Oryzias latipes: one gene and its partner. The protein of the gene in region 1 interacts with the protein of each later gene in a pairwise test. Links are inferred from orthologs where the notes say so. Each region holds a gene or a part of one and is shown on either strand. Other genes may lie near its edges.

Region 1 (4,130 bases):
TGGCTTTCATTCATTCATCTTGTTAGAATCCAACTTCATAAAAGTTAACCCATTTTTCATTCATTTTCTCTTTATGTTTTCAAAAAAAATTAAGACAACAAAAACCAGAATGTAAAGAAATAGAAGGCTCTATGGTAAAATAAAAAAAGGCCATTGAAAACTTGGAATAACTACATTATGAGTCATTTTTAAGTCCAGCGATCACCCTTTTCCCCCATCTCTGTACCACACTGAGGTCTGATTTGACCAAGTGCTGCCTTTCCCTTGCCCATCAGCAAACCCAGCGAAGGAAACCATGTGTCGGCCTTCTGGCTGCAGTATGTTTGCGTTTGCAAAAGGTTAGAGAATGGAGAGAAGCCAACCCCTGTACAGGGTTTCAAGTTCAGAGCGTTGGTAGACAAAAGCAGCAAAGCTTTCACAACTTTATTTGGTGTCTTTTTCTTGTTGGTCCTCCATAGAGTTGGATTTTTCTGGTGTTAGGGGCAAAAAATGGATACTTGGGTTATTGTTCTGACATGAAAATAATATCTACATTTTCATTCTGATATGCAAAAAACTGTATATAATGGGTGTTATACATATAGGGTGTTTTGAATTTTAAATAGAGTTTACTCACCAGAGTCACTGGTTGCATGACTTTCTAACTGTCGTGGAATGCTTGGTTGTGCTTGCCTGAAAGATAATACGAAAGTCTGGTTCATAAGGCACATTTCTCCTTTCTGCTCACTAAAAAAAGACCTTTGAACATGTGTACACATATTACTGAAAGTTTTTTTTTTTGTTAAATTCAAGTTTTACAGATCAAATCCTACCGATCAAAATAAGCTTGTCTCCTCTTCCTCAGCTCCTCAGCAGTAAGTGTCTCATTCTGGCCTGGTTTATCTCCACATGTAGAACTCTGTACAGTCCGTTTTTCGGATTTCACATTTCCCACATCAGACTCTGAAGATTTGTTACTCATGCCTGATCCTAGTTAAAGGAAAAACGTCAAAAAAAGGGTTAAAAAATTCCAATATAATAAAATATTTTCAAATCAGCCTGGAGCTTTGAAATGGCACACCTTGCATGCTGAGCTGAATGGCCCTGCGAAGGTCAGCTTCTTCATCTTCCACATCCATTTCCTGTCTGCTGAGTGCCAGAGCTCTCTTTAGTTCTTCATCGTCATCCACAGCCTCATCTGATACAACGTCCATTTGCCCCCGAGCAACGGATCTGCTTCTAAAAACAGACATGTATTATGTCCAAACAAGACCTAATGTAATCCAAGCGAGGACCATTTTCCACAAACCTACCCTGAACTTGTCTGAGCCTCATCCTCTCCAATTAGCCTGGGCCGTTGCTGTTGTTGAACCCGCATTATTCCGAGAATCTGCTCTGCTTCACATTCGGGAAGATTCCCTTGGATCACAAATATGGAATATCCTGCAGAAATACATTATTTTTGTATTTGTGTACCAAAAGGTGCAATAGTGTAAACAAGTCGGCTTTACAATACCTTCTTGTTGTAGCTGTGCCAGGAAAAGAGCTAAATATGTGTCTGATATCAGCTCTGGTCCAGTCAAGAGTGAATTCAAGTTAAACCACTGTAATAATAATTAAATAAGTAAATTAAGCATCAACACACGTATTGAAAAGTAAAAAAATAAAAATCGACATACCTGTTGTCCAAGCTTGCGTATGGTGAACCAATGCTCCTTATAATTGCAAATGAAGGCCTTCTCGTTTCTTAAAGGCAAAGACATCAAGTCAGGATTTAAATGTGGGTGTGGGATCGACTTGCTATACAAGGAAGTCTTGAAAATACAACTTTACATTGGATTTATCATCAAGCTCTGGTACTCCCGGCTATTGAAGAGAATTAACTCCAATCCCCACACTCGGAGAGCATTGCTAATTACCTATAAAAATCAGTCATAAGGAGTGATAAGACAATCTTGTAAAGTTGATTGCTAATGATCATATGACAAAGCACATAAACATACTTGTATTGAAAAGAATCCGCTGTCGTCCATGTTTCCAGATGGCTGCTATAAAGTTATTATTAAAACAGTTGTTTAAATACATGTACCACTGCAGAAAACATCTGTTACCTGTCCCCACTTACCTGTAAGAAGGTCCTGTACTCTTCACTACCCATACCTCCTTCTGCCATTCTCATTCTCTCCTCTTCGTCAAGCTGATGAGCAATTGAGGACAGGTCTACAGGGGTAAAATACTCCCCCTGCAAAAGGTTGTTGAGGCAGTGCTGGGCACATAAGGAACCCTCTTGCTGAAAACAAAGAATAACTGCGTAAACGTATTGAGAAAAAAAAAGGTCTCCACTTTTTCAAAATGGAGTGCAAAAACTTACAAAACCTTGGAGATAGATTATACAAAAAGCTAAAGCAACTACAAAAAAATAAATAAAAAATAAATAATGTTTCAAACATCTAAACAACGAGCAACATACAACTTTAGTATCCTTTTTCTTTAATAATTATTGGTGGAGTCGAAGTGTACAATAAATACCGCAAACTCGTTTTCTAACTTCATTCTATTAGCTTTTAAAGAAACTTAACAACACCTGGTTAGCAAGTGAGTTAGCATTAGCAGTCTGAATAAAGCCAAAATAACATTAGATTGAAGCTAGCACCGGCTAAACACAAACTCTAAATAAATGCTAAGTGTCTTTACTCTCTCCGACTACACACGAGTAAAGGCGTTCAGTTTAATGTCACAAGTAAATTGTTTAAACCTACTTTTTCATGAAATATGGAATCCATGTTTAGATTTCTGTCAAACATTCAACTTTGACCCCTACTCCTGTAAAGATGGGAACCAATCTCTATTAGCGCCCTCTATGGATCATTTTGGAGTACAACCTCGCTCCGTTCCAACAACCGAAAGGATATTGGTCACACAGGAAACCCCCCTCCTTTTTCGGCAAATGAAATATGGCAGAGAGTAAGAAACACCTTGACGGACTGGAGCTCAGTAAGGTATGGCGTTGCAAATTAAAAACTGACAGTTATTACCGAGATTCGGATATTTGACACGTACGCGTGGGGTTATAAAATGCTACACAGAAAACGGGCTCAACGCGCAGTGACGGTCCTAAAGCTAGCAGGCAGAAGCTGGAAACGGCTAACCGCTTTACTAGCTTAGAGATGCTACAAAACAGGTTTATTTTTCGGTATTGTTTAGCATCAGCGATTTGAATCTTCGTCAGAAACGCGATCTGTTTGCAGATGTGTAGGTCAATCTGATATTTTAGTACTTAGTTTTGTCCAAAACCCCGTTTTACGAGTTTTAAACACTGAGCATCAGTCCTGTTTTTTTGAAGAATTTAGTGAAAAAAAGTTGTATCTTTCGAAAAATGAATGTGAAACTGAACATTTATTACGAACCATAATTTTATCGTTTAAATTTTCACAATGATCCTGCCAACTATTTACATCCCGATTTGTTGAGCTAATCTTCCTTCACACTAACTTATCATTGGACTTTTATTATAAAGTTTATTATATCCTAAAAGGAAAGCAGATTTGGAGAATTCAGTAACAATGTTCTAGCTTTTCTATATACACATGATCATATGTTGTCTGTAGTTCAAGGCACTAAAGACTAGAAAGTAGGGGTGTAACGTTAAATTTTAACCATGATTTGATTCATATCATTATATTTTTTAGTTGCTGATATGATTCATAGGTGATATTGGTTCATTTTGAACGATACGATTTATAGACTGAAAATCGATTCAGGACATTTTAGCCAAAAAATCAACCAGTGTGTGACTCGGTGATAAATACCTGGGTACTGTAGAGCAGGTGAAGGATTCTCCTGCAAGAATGTGTAAATTAAATAAATAATAAAGTGTGAATTAAATATGTGTACAAGCAAACAAGTGAACAGGGATTAATGGCAAATCCATTGACATTTTAGTTTCCTAAAGTTCAGCCCACAACAAAATAATCTAAACAGAACATTATTAGAACATTCTACCACACTTTATGGTCACATGTCTTTGTAAAAAGTGTTTCCACACATTGGACTGTAATTATGGATTGATCCTTTTTTGCAGCCATCACATGTGTGTTGTCCTCTGTGATGACACCGATTCATATTTATGTTGTTGTGAAATAAACTTACCG
Region 2 (3,388 bases), on another chromosome or scaffold:
GTTATAAAAAAATCCAGCTGATGCTGAGTTCCTTCAGAAACTGATGATCTGCAGCTTTCATCAAAAAACTAATACTGAAAAATGTCTTCTCTCGCCTGCCTAAAACCTGAAACTGAAAGGAAAGAGCTTAAATTTGTTGAAGAATATCCTTGATGGTCACAGAAAACTGAATAAGTTTCATGTCAGACAAAATGTAGGAAAAAACGATGGAGCTCAGCGAAACATAAGCTCAAATCAGAGTGTGTTCAAAGCAACACTTTACATTAACTAACAACAACAGGGATGATAACTAAACGTTAACAACAACTTCTGATCTTCCTCCTTTCAGAAAAATGGATTCAGCTCCAGGACGAAGCTCGTTCACAACAGCAGGACGAGTTGAATCGTTAAGAAGGCGTTACCGTAGCGACAACACAAGTCAAGACTGTAGACTTGACACACAAAAAAAAACACCCCAAATCTTTGGCTTTGGCATTTGGCAAAGAAAGAAAGGAAACAAGAGGATCGTGATCTACCAGTTAAATGCAACGATGAAAACAAGTGGGGGGTTGGGGGGGAAGGACAAACGCATACGTTGAACACTGAGGATGTCGCACAATCAAGTAAGACGGTGTGTTTTAGTGCAAATGTAACTGTGAACTTCAGGAAGCGGCGAGTTGAAACATCACAAACTTGTGCTTATGAGTCTCCTTTCATTCAGCAGTCACACCAAAAAAAAAAACAGAAGCAAAACCACACACACAGATGTTTGTGAGCAGGGTTGTTCAGCGTGCTTTGTGTTTACAGACGCCCCAGGGAGGAGGAGGAGGAGGAGGACGAGGAAGAAGGAGACCCCCTGTTCTGGATGAGATTCTCCCCTCTGTGACTCTCAGTTTGGCTCCAATGGTTCTTCTGTGGATCTGGAGGTCCATTGTGGTTCAGCAGAGGGGGCTGACCAGTGGTGTGTGTGTGTGTGTGTGTGTGTGTGTGTGTGTGGTCTGTTAAATGATCCTCAGCAGATGAGATCCCAAGGACCTCACAGAACAGGAGCAGGTGAGCTCTGCGGCGCCGTGGCGCTCTGAACCGTTAGCATGGACCACCCCTTCGCTCTCAGGGGTCCTGTTGACCCAGGATTGGAAGCTTCTCGGTTTGGTGCAAACCCTCTGAGTTGAGTCGCGTTTTCGATCAGGGCTGCTGGGCTCAGAATGTGGCTGTGGATGAGAAACTCCAGGAGCACCCCACTTGTTCAGTGGGAGCTGCCGCTGGACTCAGCTCGGGCTTGGCTGCTCGTCCGAGGAGCACCGTAGAGGGTGACTGAAGCTATGTGGTTGTTCTGCATCACCTGTGGAGCAGCAGACACAGGAGTGACGTCACACAACATTTGATGAGCACGTCTTAACCACCCACTCCTATGAAAATTGTGGGTTTTTAGGGTGTTTTTAACATGTTCTGCTAGCATTTTTCTCATAATTAAGGAAACTTTAAGCTCGTGGGTTGACTGAGGGGGGGGTCTGGGGGTTCTTCCTCTGGAACATTTTGAAAATTATGGCTTTTTATGTGCATTTTCCAGACATCTGGAGCATTATTTCAGCTTCTAAAACCTTTGAGGAAGGGAAGTAAATTGACACCATCAATGAAGTGTTCCATTTTTTTTTTCATTTTCCTTTATGCACTTTTTTCCCCCTAATTCTGCCCCCAGGTAATTAATTTTTACATTAAATCTTAACAAAAAACAGTCTGAAAGATGGCAGCCATTATGTCATTGAGAGTGAAGATGCAGGCTGCAATAGTGGCTGCTATCTTTGATATACCGTGGAGTCATGTCTGTTATTAAACCTGTGAAATATCCTTTTTATGTATTTATCCACCACGTCTTAATATCCAGTCCATTAAAAATATTGTCTGACATTAAATCAGTTTGTGGTCACCTGCTGACAACACGCGACATCAGACCATCACAGCACCATAGCATCAGTGTCTAACAAACAGCTGTTTCCAGATCGACACTTTTTTATTAGGAGACTTTCTGTTGCTGCTGCGAGCCCAGCAGCTTCATCCTCCAGTTTGGTGTGGATCCCACTGCTTCATCAGCCAAACGCCACACAGAGGTGAATTACAGGAGGGGGTAGCGCCCTCACGCCGCATGCTCTTGTGTACCTCGCGCGCGCACACAGTGGAAGAGGACATTTATGCTGTAGCCCTTTAACTTTTACTCCTCAAACAGAAATAAATGCTTGCAATTGGCGAGTGCTCAGCACTGAGCGCTCATTTTTCTGCGGGGCACTAAATGAAACTTCTGTTTGTCGTCAAAAAGTAGGCGGGGATTACTTCACTTGCAGGCAGTGAACCTTCGCCGGGTGCCGGCTACTTTTAAGGCTTTTAAAGCAAAATAACTGGCATATTCCCTGCTGTGATATCAGCCAAATAAAGAAATATTCAGTAAATCTGCATGTTTTTTGCCATCAAGGCTCTGCAAACCCAACAGAAACAGGAACTGACCTCAAAGATCATCCTCTGCAGTCCGAAGCAGAAGGTGGAGCCAAACGGGTTGGTGTTATTGGCCGATGACGACCTGGAAACAGATGCCTGTGAGCATGCTCAGTTCTCACCGCCTCCCTGGCAATAATACCATCTGAATTTCGCAGCTTTAACCCTTGTGCTATCTTGTGGGGTCCAGATGACCCCGCTCCCAACGATAACGTGCCTTGGAGGCACGTTATCATTGGGAGTGGGGTCATCTGGACCCCACAAGCTAGCACAAGGGTTAAAGGGACGGAGATTCCCCTACCTGTGTAGCACCACAGGTTTCTCCATAGGGTGACCCAGCAGCTCCTGAATCTGATCCCACTAGGAGAGATTCAAAAAAAAAATCCTCAACAGCTGATCAGACCAACTCCAAGATGTCTTTGACTTTCACGTTAGTTTTTTAATGACAACAGGGAGCATTAACAGACAGATATTCTCTTCCTGGCTCAAAACAACCAGAGGACAGGAAACCCCAAAACTGGATATCTCAGTTAAGCTTTCTGGAACCGGCACCTTTGGACCAGATAATCTCTCCAGAACTGACCTTGCTGTAGGTGGTTAAGATGCAGTCCTCAGCCTGAGAATCAGCTCCTTCTAAAACAGGAAGCAGAGATCCCCGTATTAATTATCTTTAAACCTCACGGAAAATATCAGTCCAGATCAGACTCATGATTTCAAATCGTTCCACCTTTTTTGATGATGAGAGGAATCCTAAAGTCACATCGATGATATCTGCATCAAGAGAGCAGTGAAAAAACATGAGAGAAAAACAAGACGTGTCTGATATTCTAGAGAAACATTAGGACACAAGCAGGCAGGGAAAAAAGAAAATATCAAAGAAGAAGAGCTCAGATACTTACATATTAAAGTTGTAATGTCCTGG

What was found.
Region 2: the proteins of ataxin-3 (region 1) and c6h16orf70 interact in binary tests that used the Homo sapiens proteins (3 or more experiments, as listed by UniProt). The link is inferred for Oryzias latipes from reciprocal best matches to the Homo sapiens genes ATXN3 and PHAF1.

What each region holds. Positions count from the first base shown.
Region 1 is NC_019880.2:12,489,157-12,493,286, forward strand, and holds the start of ataxin-3, read right to left. Parts: upstream 2,828-4,130; 5' UTR 2,784-2,827; coding exon 2,739-2,783; intron 2,270-2,738; coding exon 2,105-2,269; intron 2,028-2,104; coding exon 1,983-2,027; intron 1,899-1,982; coding exon 1,813-1,898; intron 1,726-1,812; coding exon 1,659-1,725; intron 1,584-1,658; coding exon 1,496-1,583; intron 1,423-1,495; coding exon 1,293-1,422; intron 1,219-1,292; coding exon 1,061-1,218; intron 970-1,060; coding exon 813-969; intron 673-812; coding exon 617-672; intron 471-616; coding exon 424-470; 3' UTR 1-423. Other genes in the region: E3 ubiquitin-protein ligase UBR1, read left to right, coding at 2,934-2,978. UniProt on the Homo sapiens protein: Deubiquitinating enzyme involved in protein homeostasis maintenance, transcription, cytoskeleton regulation, myogenesis and degradation of misfolded chaperone substrates.
Region 2 is NC_019864.2:26,104,991-26,108,378, reverse strand, and holds part of c6h16orf70 (UPF0183 protein C16orf70 homolog), read right to left. Parts: coding exon 3,366-3,388; intron 3,238-3,365; coding exon 3,194-3,237; intron 3,100-3,193; coding exon 3,050-3,099; intron 2,827-3,049; coding exon 2,768-2,826; intron 2,552-2,767; coding exon 2,479-2,551; intron 1,322-2,478; coding exon 1,226-1,321; 3' UTR 1-1,225. UniProt on the Homo sapiens protein: Plays a regulatory role in autophagic activity. In complex with BCAS3, associates with the autophagosome formation site during both non-selective and selective autophagy.